Macaca mulatta: one gene and its partners. The protein of the gene in region 3 interacts with the protein of the main gene of each other region in a biochemical or structural test. Links are inferred from orthologs where the notes say so. Each region holds a gene or a part of one and is shown on either strand. Other genes may lie near its edges. The genes, in order: H2AX, H2AZ1 and RNF168.

Region 1 (3,314 bases), on a different chromosome or scaffold from region 3:
AGTGCCCCATTCTCACTGCTGTCTGGGGAGTGATTACCTCAGAAGACTGAACTGCAGGGTTCAAGCCTTCCGGGGATTTGCCTCAGTTTGGGGCCTTGATGACTGCCTTGCCTCCTCAGTATGTGGGGGCTTCATCTCTTTAGAGAAGTCCAAGCCACAGCCTTTGAATGTAACCAACTCTACTAATAAACCAGCTCTGAAGGTGTTTTTGTGTGTGTGTGTGGGGGGGGGTTGGCGGGAAGATATGAACAAACACAAAGCCCTTTCATCCTTACCTCGGAGGCTGGGACTTTTGCCCAAAGTTCTCCTGGTACATCCTTTCTGCTTCTGCCTCAATAGTTTTCATTTCACACAGAATAAATTGTCTCGCAGGAACACCAAGAAACAGAGCCATAATCTTAAATTCCTATGGTTTGCTCCTTCTTCGGTTAACAGTAGAGCCTATTTATATTGCATGCCCCTCCCACCCCCACTATCAGGAAAGTATAGAAAGTCACTAATCCTACAACTCTCTTGCAAAATGAAAACAAATGCTCCATTTTTAGAAAAACAATCCTTTAATAAAATTAGTTCATCTAAAACTCCCCAATGCCTAAGGTTCTAGTCTTGGAAGGGTTAGCTGCAAAATTCCAGTTCGGAAGCCAACGGAGGCTCAGTCCAGACAGGGATTAACCGACTTGTGCTGGTATCTAGGTGCTTGGATTGCCGAGTTGAGTTTGCTGGAAGGGAAATGGGGAGGCCCGACAGGCTTGGCTGCCAGTCGGCTTCCGCGAAAACGACTCTTGCTGTCCACATAGCCAGCCGTGAAGCCAAACTGCAGGCCTCTGCCCTCCCCTAAATGTCCTCGTAGGAGGCAGTCACTCGGGAGGAAGATGTGCCTGTTACCAAGTGCTTCGTCCCGGCCCCAGCGCAGACCTATGAATGAAGATGGAGGGAGATCTGATGTGAAAGGCCTGGGTCCCGGCCGCAGAGGGGGCGCCAGACCGAAACCAGCGATCGTGTCTCTCCCACCAAAGCCTCCAGGCCAGCGGCCACGTCTGAAAGTCCTGGGCTAAGCACCACGCCGGGGGAGTGCCGGACACCCTGGCTGCAGCTGCCGAGGGCCTCACTCACCTTCAGGGCCGCCGGCCTCTCGGCCTGGACTGCCCACCTCGGCCCTGCGTCAGAGCGGAAGGCCAAGTCTTCCAGAAGGTGCTGCGGCCTCCCCGCAGCCCCTCAGCGACTCAGGATGGGGCAGCTGGCTGAGTCACGAGCGCCGAGGCGAGCAGGTGCGGCGCCGCCGGCCTCCCCCCGGCAGGCTCGGGTCCTCCGCGCCACGGTGGTCCCCGAAGAGTGCCCAAGCCGCGTCCAGAGGGCCCGAGCCCTACCGGAGGGCGGCCGGCGGATGGGGCAGGGCCCGAGGCCGACGCGGCAGGCGGTGCAGGCCAGGAGGGGGGCGGGCGGGGACTCGAGGCCGGGCGGCAAAGGCGGGCGATGGGAGGGGAAAGGAGCCGGGAGCCGCGGCCCGCTTGCCCCGCAGTCTGAAGTGGCTCAGCTCTTTCCATGAGGGCGGTGGTGGCCCTTAAAAGGGCCTTTGTGGTGGCATGGGGAGGCCTGGCGGCCGGCCGCGGCGCGGGCCCTCTTAGTACTCCTGGGAGGCCTGGGTGGCCTTCTTGCCGCCCGAGGGCGCCTTCGGCCCCACGGTGGCGCTGGTCTTCTTGGGCAACAGCACGGCCTGGATGTTGGGCAGGACGCCTCCCTGGGCGATCGTCACGCCGCCCAGCAGCTTGTTGAGCTCCTCGTCGTTGCGGATGGCCAGCTGCAGGTGGCGGGGGATGATTCGCGTCTTCTTGTTGTCGCGGGCCGCATTGCCCGCCAGCTCCAGGATCTCAGCGGTGAGGTACTCCAGCACTGCCGCCAGGTACACGGGCGCGCCGGCGCCAACGCGCTCGGCGTAGTGGCCCTTCCGCAGCAGCCGGTGTACACGGCCCACTGGGAACTGGAGGCCGGCGCGCGACGAGCGCGACTTGGCCTTGGCGCGGGCCTTGCCGCCAGTCTTGCCGCGGCCCGACATGCTAGCGAGGTAGACCGGTGAAGTACAACGGTTCAGAGACACCCCAACAGAAGCCCGCCGCAGTGTAACTGCTGTCGCGCGCGCGCCGTGAGGCCGCCTTTATAAGCCCCCAGGACACACCTCTGCGCCCTCCTGATTGGCTCTTTTCTCCAATACCCGCCTCCGGTTGGTTGCGGTTAACCCTTGGGTGTCGCGCCTCGGCTGAGGGAGCGCGCGCTGATTGGTCGAATTTGAAAACCTTTTGCCCGGGGAGAAAAGGCGAGGAGGCGGGGTAGCACGCAGACGGCCAAACACCCGCTTATGTAGCCAATCCTTGTAAAGCGCGCGAGATTTAAACACTACAGTCGGAAGGCAGAACCGGAAGACAAAAGGGGTGGAGTCTGAGGCCACCTAGAGAGCGTCTGGGAAATCTGTGCTGGCGTAGGATGTTTAAAGGAAAGGGGTCAATACTATAGCTACCCTTTCCAGGTCCGGTCACTCCACACTCCCTTCTCCTACCTGACAAAGGGAGAATGGAAAAGGGAAGAAATTAGACCCCTTAAAGTTTTCTTTTTCTTTCTTTCTTTTCTTTCTTGTTTTTAATAGACCAGGTCTTGCTTGCTGTCACCCAGGCTGGAGTGCAGTGGTGTGATCTCAGCTCACTGCAAGCCTCGGACTCCTGGGCTCAAGGGATCCTTCCTGCTTAACCTCCCGAGTAGATGGTACTACAAATGCTCCACTACAGTGGGCTAATTATTTATTTTTGTAGAGACGGAGTCTCGTTTTGTTGCCCAGGCTGTCTTGAATTCCTGAGCTCAGGCAATCCTCCTGCCTCGGCCTCCTAAAGTGCTGGGATTACAGGCATGAGCCACTGTACCTGGTGTCTTTGAAAGTTTGACCCCATGCCAGGAAACAGGATAACTTCAATTTTGTGGCCCTCCATGCCACCTGAAGTATCAGGATTTAAATGTTTATTCAATATGTTCTGTTTGGTCTCAGTTCTGTTCACTTCTTGTTAGACGGGGTCTGGTGGGGCAGAGAGATAGGCATCCTGTTGGAGGAAGTACCCCCACCTACCCTCCCAATCCACCCAAAAATGCCCATATAGGAAATATACCTACAGGAACAATAAGAAATAGACAACACTTTATTGTCTCCATTGAGAGCATGTGGCCCCCTGCTTACTTCTTACTAATCAGAACACTTAATTTACAATCAAATAACAGGTCACTGTGGAGCCTGTGTCCCTAGCCCTGGCCCAAGTTCTATCCCAAAAACCAGT
Region 2 (3,591 bases), on a different chromosome or scaffold from region 3:
TTCGTGACCAGTGAGGTGACTTGGCTTCACCGTTTGCTGTTACAGAACTATTCCGTGGGGGATTTCATAAGTAGTGAGGGAGAGGTGGAAGACCCGGCTGAAAATAAAGTGGGAGCAACCCGTCCTGATCTGTTGTTGGTGACTGGGGATTCGCCTAGAGGGAAGAAACACGGAATCTCTACTAAGGCTGAGGAAGGCGTCAGGGCAAACCTCAGCCTCCCCTCACTGGACGCGTTCGCGCCACCTGTCAGACTGGAAGAGCCGCCAGGGATTGAGAGGGTCGGGAGAGGGTGCCCGGGGCCCCGGAAGGCGGCTGCAGGTCGCAGGTCTCCGCCCGAGAGGCGCTGGGGGTGGGGTTGGGAGCGGTGGGGGCTGCGTGCTAGATACGGACGAGACTTCACGTGGTCTCCAAAGCCCTGCTAGGGGACCCGGGGCGCTACCGCGCGCCCCTCCCCTGAGGTCTCAGCTCCTCCTCCCCGGCACGTGACCGCAGCTGGCTGGTAACTGCGCTCCCGCAGAGTAGCTTGCTCTGTTTCTTCCCTCCCGCCGCGGTGCCCTTCTTCTCCCCCGTTCCCATCCCTCCGCCCTCCCCCGCTTCGCTCCTCACGTCCCAATCGCGGCTTGAGCTTAGAAGCGCCCGCCCCTCCACCCTTTTCTTTGCTTGCTCATTGGCTGAAGTCTCAAGGACGCGTCCCGAGGGCGGGTGGCAGCCATTGGTGGGATGAGCAATCCGAGTTCCCGGATGAGGGAACATTCTGCAGTATAAAGGGAGCAGGGAAGGCGGGAGACAGCGCAGTTTGAATCGCGGTGCGACGAAGGAGTAGGTGGTGGGATCTCACCGTGGGTCCGATTAGCCTTTTCTCTGCCTTGCTTGCTTGAGCTTCAGCAGAATTCGAAATGGTAAACTTCGCAGAGACGCTCGATGACTTCGCGGGTTTTTGCCGGCGGGAGAAAAACCCGTTACACGGGGGATGGGGGTGAAGTGGCGACGGTTGGGAACGCGCGGAGACAGGATTAAGAAGAGCGGGGGGAGGTGTTTTGTCGGCTGCTAGCGGAGCAGCCTCGGATCTCGCGGCGGGCGGCGACGGTTGGGTGGCGCGCGCAGCGCCGCTGGGGGCCGGCGGGCGGGCGGAGGCGCGCGGCCGCGGCGAGCGCGCGGCGGGGGGCGGACGGGCGGGGTCGCCCCTGCGGCGCGCCGCGGGCCAGAGACCCCGGCGGGGTGCGGGGACGCGCTCGCGGCGGGACGCGCCGCGGTGGGGGATGGGCGCGCCGCCTTGGTAATTCTATATTCTCCGTTCCTCCTCCGCTCGCGGGCGTGTGCGCGCCGCAGGCTGGCGGTAAGGCTGGAAAGGACTCCGGAAAGGCCAAGACAAAGGCGGTTTCCCGCTCGCAGAGAGCCGGCTTGCAGGTCAGTAGTTGTTCGTGCGGTCTGGGAGTCGTGATGTTTTTCTTTGCATCTCCTTTTTTGTTATTCACCGCTCTCCATGGGCGTTTCGTCTATGCGTGGGTGATGCGGTGTCGCGACTTGGGCTGCCCATACGATAAATATGGGGGGGAGGAATCACGTGTTTCGATGTCGGGACGCGTTGCTGCGCCCGTGCCACTTGCTTTGGCGCGCATATAATTTCCCCATCTCTAGTTCTCCTATTTTTGTGCATTTATGTTTGTGTATGCTTAAAATTTAAGTTCCCAGTGGGCCGTATTCATCGACACCTGAAATCTAGGACGACCAGTCATGGACGTGTGGGCGCGACTGCCGCTGTGTACAGCGCAGCCATCCTGGAGTACCTCACCGCAGAGGTAAATGGGTGAACGCCTATAATCCGGAGAAGGTTTGGGGGGCGGGGAGACGGCAAGAGGGAAGGAGGAAAGTGATGCAAGAAAACTCACAGGCCCTGAACGCGGCGAGAGGCCTAAGAGAACGCTAGAGGGAGCTGCTGTTCAACAAGGATCCTACTGAGCTTGAGTTCTCTGCTCTTGGAATTAAAATTGCGTGCCCCCTGTATATCTTGCCAGTCAGATAGTGGGGAACGACTCCAGTTGGTAGATAAGCGTTTGTGAGGGTTTTATTCTGTTCTCTGAATCTTGGCCAAAGGAAAGTTGGAAGGGAACTGATTAGATTCTGCCTTCTAGGTACTTGAACTGGCAGGAAATGCATCAAAAGACTTAAAGGTAAAGCGTATTACCCCTCGTCACTTGCAACTTGCTATTCGTGGAGATGAAGAATTGGATTCGCTCATCAAGGCTACAATTGCTGGTGGTGGTATGTTAACTTCTAAAATTTTTAAAAATTTCTTCAGAGGAAGGAATTCTTTGCTGCTTTAATTTCATTAGTTTTTCTAGAAGAGAAAATTTAAGTATATTTTCATTGATGCAAGTATGGTTTTATCATGAAATTTGATTCATATGTATAACTGAATTTTTACTTCATACTTGAGCTGCACGTTTTTAAAGATACTTGAACAGTATACTTTTTTTGGTTTCAAATACTGTGATTTTAAAAAAAAAATCTTAAGTAGAATTAATTCCTGTCACTCTCCTAGGTGTCATTCCACACATCCACAAATCTCTGATTGGGAAGAAAGGACAACAGAAGACTGTCTAAAGGATGCCTGGATTCCTTGTTATCTCAGGACTCTAAATACTCTAACAGCTGTCCAGTGTTGGTGATTCCAGTGGACTGTATCTCTGTGAAAAACACAATTTTGCCTTTTTGTAATTCTATTTGAGCAAGTTGGAAGTTTAATTAGCTTTCCAACCAACCAAATTTCTGCATTCGAGTCTTAACCATATTTAAGTGTTACTGTGGCTTCAAAGAAGCTATTGATTCTGAAGTAGTGGGTTTTGATTGAGTTGACTGTTTTTAAAAAACTGTTTGGATTTTAATTGTGATGCAGAAGTTATAGTAACAAACATTTGGTTTTGTACAGACATTATTTCCACTCTGGTGGATAAGCTCAATAAAGGTCATATCCCAAACTAGTTGTGTATTAAATTGGCTTGATTGTAATATGAATTTGTTTTGAATATCTAGCAGCAATAACTAAGCACATTTCTTTGTGACTGACCTGTCAAATCTAGATCAACAAAGTGAGATAGACCAAGTATATATTTTTAATGTTATATAATAAGCTACTAAAGTTTTAATTTAAAAAGTTGTCAGGAGCTGGAGTGGGAGCATTTCAGTTTGTGCATTGACTTTGCTTGCTGTGTGACAGCACTGCACTAGTATGCTGTTAGTGTGGTGGACTTGGGGAGGGAGAGAATAGGTAGGAATGTCCTGTATATCCACATAATGAACTCCGAATTTAAACTCTGAAGCTAATAGTGCTACGTGCTAGGCCCTGCTTTGAAGTCTGAAATTGAAATTGTTAAGTGCTCAGTAACATCATTGGGGATATACTATCTCCATTTTATTGAAGAGAAGCAGGCTTTCTTATTTGAAAGTACCGAGTTCTGGTGGTAGTTGGAATTAACAGCTTGGCTCACAGCATTTTGTAAAAATCGTTACCTTGTTGGGTTGAGCAGATCGTTTCCACAGTTTGTCATGTTTTTTAAAAAAATTAAAACTGCACATAACATTCACCCCCA
Region 3 (3,711 bases):
AAATAACAAGTGTTGGTGAGGGAGTGAAGAAATTGGAAACTTCATGCTCTGCTAATGGAAATGTAAAATGGTACAGCCACTGTAGAAAACAAATGTGGCAGTTCCTCAAAAAGCTAAACATGGAATTACCATAGCATCCAGCAATTCCGCTCTTAGATATGTAGACAAAAGAACTGAAAACAGGTATTCAAACAAATATTTGTACACAGATGTCCGTATTGCCAGTATTCAAATAACGAAAAGGTGAAAAAAACCAACGTCCATCCAATGGATAAACAAAATGTAACAAGTATATCCATAAAACAAATTATTATTCAGCCCGAAAAATGAAGTACTGATCCATGGAAACACGCTAAGAGAAATAAGCTAGACACACAAGATCCTATATTGTATAAGACTCTTATATGAAATACCTAGAATTGCCAGATTCATAGAGACAGAAAGTGGAATAGGTGCCAGGGGCTAGGGGGAAAGGTGAAATGGGTGGTCAGTGCTTCACGATTAGAGTTTATCTGGGGTGATGAAAAAGTTTTGGAAACAGTGGTGATGATTACATTGTGAATGTAATTAATTCTATTGAATTGTACTTAAAAATGGTTAAAATGTCAGTTTGTTATATATATTTTGGACAGTATTTTAAAAATTAATAATGCAATATATAAAAAACCATTAAATTGCACTTTTAAAAATTTTATTGAATTTATGTTACCCAGACTGGTCTCAACTCCTCGGTTCAAGCGATCCTCCCACCTCCGCCTCCCAAAGCGCTAGGATTACAGCTGTGAGCCACTGCACCCGGCCAAACTGCACACGTTTAGTAGGTGAACTGTTCGGTATGTGAGTATTTCAATAAAGCTGTTTTTCTTAAACTATTGTTTAAAAATGGTTAAAATGGCATTTTGGTTTTTTACCACAATAAAATACATAAACGTTTAAAAGGCAGGTACACATATAACTGTGACCAAAAAAAATTAAAAAAAAAAAAAAAGACCCGTAGACGAGAGCGCACAGACAGGAACCACTGCACGGCTTATTGCTCACACTAGCGGAGGAAAGAGTCAAGGGTTCAGTCTGGGGCTCCTGAGTCCACCGGGTGTAGGGGTTAGTGATAAAAAAGCGATTTTAGACTTGTTGCATGATTTTTGTTTTTGGAGACGGAGTCTCGCTCTGTCGCCCAGGCTGGAGTGCAGTGGCGCAATCTCGGCTCACTGCAAGCTCCGTCTCCCGGGTTCACGCCATTCTCCTGCCTCAGCCTCCCGAGTAGCTGGGACTACAGGCGCCGTCACCTCGCCCGGCTAGTTTTTGTATTTTTAGTAGAGACGGGGTTTCTCCGTGTTGGCCAGGCTGGTCACGATCGGCTCGTTGCATGACTAGGAGAATAAAGAATTACGTGAATGGAGATGTACACATAAGTAAATCAGAGGCCGGGCGCGGTGGCTCACTCCTGTAATCCCAGCGCTTTGGGAGGCTGAGGCGGGCGGATCACCGGAGGTCAGGAGTTCGAGACCAGCCTGACCAACATGATGAAAACCCGTCTCTGCGAAAATACAAAAATTCCGGGTGCGATGGTGCGCGCCTGTAGTCCCAGCTACTCGGCAGGCTGGGGCAGGAGAGTCGCTTGAACCCGGGAGGCGGAGGCTGCAGTGAGCCGAGATCGCGCCACTGCCCTGCAGCCTGGGCGAGAGCGAGACCCTGTCTCAAAAAAAAAAAAAAAAAAAAAAAAAAGAAGGCTCTAGACGGGCAATTCTTTAATTTTTAAAACAAACACCCATCGAACACAGCGCGGGCATCGTGACAAGGGACAAAATCTTGTCCTTGACTTTACAATCCATCGACATTTGGGGACCCATAAACCCCCAAACCTCTGAGAACTATTTAGACAAACATCAGTGGGGCTTTTTGGTTTGTTTGTACTTTTTAAATGGAGAAGCGATGATTCACCTTTTCAAAGATTTGCGGCTTTCGGCCAATAATCAGGCCGGGGTTTACTCACCCACTTCCTCGGACTCCTGCCCCGACGCTCTGAGCTTGCACTCCCGGGGATAGTGTTTCTGAATGACCTTCCACAGGTCCAGGTTGACGAGAGAATTCCTTCGGGTGTGGTACCGAGTCCACGAAGACACGCGGCGGCGACAGAAGGGGCAGCACAGACTCGCCTTCTCCACGGTCGCCTGGAAGCACGGTCTGCACAGCGTGTGGCTGCACGGCAGGGTCACGGGCTCCACGAGGATGTCCATGCAGATCCCGCACTGGCACTCGGACCGCGAGGGGACGGCGCCTTTGGGTAGAGCCATTTTAACACGTTAATAAAGTCGACTAAACGACGACACCTGCGCGAAAAACAATCCTATTTTCGGCCAACCACAGAGAAGGCAAAAGCACAGTTTTGTGTTTCAATATTGTGCCCAGAAGCGTATCAGAACTCGGAGAACAGGGGCATCCAACCCGTCTCGAAGCAAAAAGGCGCTCTCAGGGTCAGGCAAACAGGAACGCCCCGGAGGGCGGCGTCTTTGTCCATTTTCAAGGCAAACGTCCGGCAAGCAAACGACTGCAGGCTTTCGTCGGAGGAGCCGGGCTGCTCCGCGGCGTGAACACTGCGGCTGCGGCTCCCGGTGCAGCGAGGGGAGCGCGCCAAGTCCCCTCCTCCCCTCATCCGGAGAGGATGCTCCGCTCAGCTCGGGGCAGCCCGGCCCCGGGACGCGGCTCCGGGAGGAATCCCGAGCTCCGGCTGCTGCAGAACTTCCGCTTTGGCGCTGCTGCGGGGGCGACGCGCGACTCCCGGGTTCAGCTTCCCGGCGCCCGGCGCAGTTTCCCAGAGCTCCGCGCCCGGGTCCCTCTTGCGCAGCCAGAAGCCCTATTCGTTGCGGCGGCGCAGCAGCCACCGGGCAAGCGCCAGCAACGTCACAACCGCCCGCCAAAACCGCGCTTCCCACCCAGAAACCCGCCCAAGGTCGGACGCTCCCGGGGCGGGACTTCCGGCGTCTGCGCCCCGCCCGCCCTCCCAGCCGGAGAGGCCCAGCCCAGGCGTCGCCGCTCCTGCTGGTGCAGCCTGGGTGGAGCCTGACTTTCCCCGGAGATTTCTGCCAGGCCTCAGACACCCCGGGTTTCTTGGTTTCTGGGTAGAAAAAGGGAAACTGCAAAACAAATTCAACAGCCAAACACGGCCGGGCGCGGTGGCTCACGCCTGTAATCCCAGCACTTTGGGAGGCCGAGGCGGGCGGATCACCTGAGGTCGGGAGTTTGAGACCAGCCTGGCCAACATGGCCAAATCCCGTCTCTACTAAAAATACAAAATCAGCCGGGCCTGGTGGTGCGCGCCTGTAGTCCAGGTTACCTGGGAGGCTGAGGCAGAAGAATCGCTTAGACCCAGGAGGCGGAGGTTGCACTGAGCCGAGATCGCGCCGCTGCACTCCAGCCTGGGCGACAGCGAGACTCTGGCTTTAAAAAAAAAAAAAAAAAAAAGGCTGGGCGCGGTGGGTCACGCCTGTAATCCCAGCACTTTGGGAGGCCGAGGCAGGCGGATCACAAGGCCAGGAGATCGAGACCATCCTGGCTAACACGGTGAAACACCGTCTCTACTTTAAAAAAAAAAAAATATATATATATACACACACACACACACACACACACAAAATAAAATAGCCGGGCGAGGTGGCGGGCGCCTGTAGTCCCAGCTACTTGGGAGGCGGAGGCAGGAGAATGGCGGGAACC

Evidence for each region.
Region 1: of the proteins of RNF168 (region 3) and H2AX, one has a biochemical effect on the other in vitro, tested with the Homo sapiens proteins (2 studies listed by BioGRID). The link is inferred for Macaca mulatta from reciprocal best matches to the Homo sapiens genes RNF168 and H2AX.
Region 2: of the proteins of RNF168 (region 3) and H2AZ1, one has a biochemical effect on the other in vitro, tested with the Homo sapiens proteins (3 studies listed by BioGRID, with this or other methods). The link is inferred for Macaca mulatta from reciprocal best matches to the Homo sapiens genes RNF168 and H2AZ1.

What each region holds. Positions count from the first base shown.
Region 1 is NC_133419.1:119,778,663-119,781,976, forward strand, and holds H2AX (histone H2A.x), read right to left. Parts: upstream 2,129-3,314; 5' UTR 2,054-2,128; coding exon 1,622-2,053; 3' UTR 539-1,621; downstream 1-538. UniProt on the Homo sapiens protein: Variant histone H2A which replaces conventional H2A in a subset of nucleosomes. Nucleosomes wrap and compact DNA into chromatin, limiting DNA accessibility to the cellular machineries which require DNA as a template.
Region 2 is NC_133410.1:109,266,889-109,270,479, reverse strand, and holds H2AZ1 (H2A histone family, member Z), read left to right. Parts: upstream 1-841; 5' UTR 842-897; coding exon 898-900; intron 901-1,330; coding exon 1,331-1,408; intron 1,409-1,686; coding exon 1,687-1,800; intron 1,801-2,133; coding exon 2,134-2,263; intron 2,264-2,543; coding exon 2,544-2,605; 3' UTR 2,606-2,982; downstream 2,983-3,591. UniProt on the Homo sapiens protein: Variant histone H2A which replaces conventional H2A in a subset of nucleosomes. Nucleosomes wrap and compact DNA into chromatin, limiting DNA accessibility to the cellular machineries which require DNA as a template.
Region 3 is NC_133407.1:2,047,805-2,051,515, forward strand, and holds the start of RNF168 (E3 ubiquitin-protein ligase RNF168), read right to left. Parts: upstream 2,922-3,711; 5' UTR 2,295-2,921; coding exon 1,994-2,294; intron 1-1,993. UniProt on the Homo sapiens protein: E3 ubiquitin-protein ligase required for accumulation of repair proteins to sites of DNA damage. Acts with UBE2N/UBC13 to amplify the RNF8-dependent histone ubiquitination.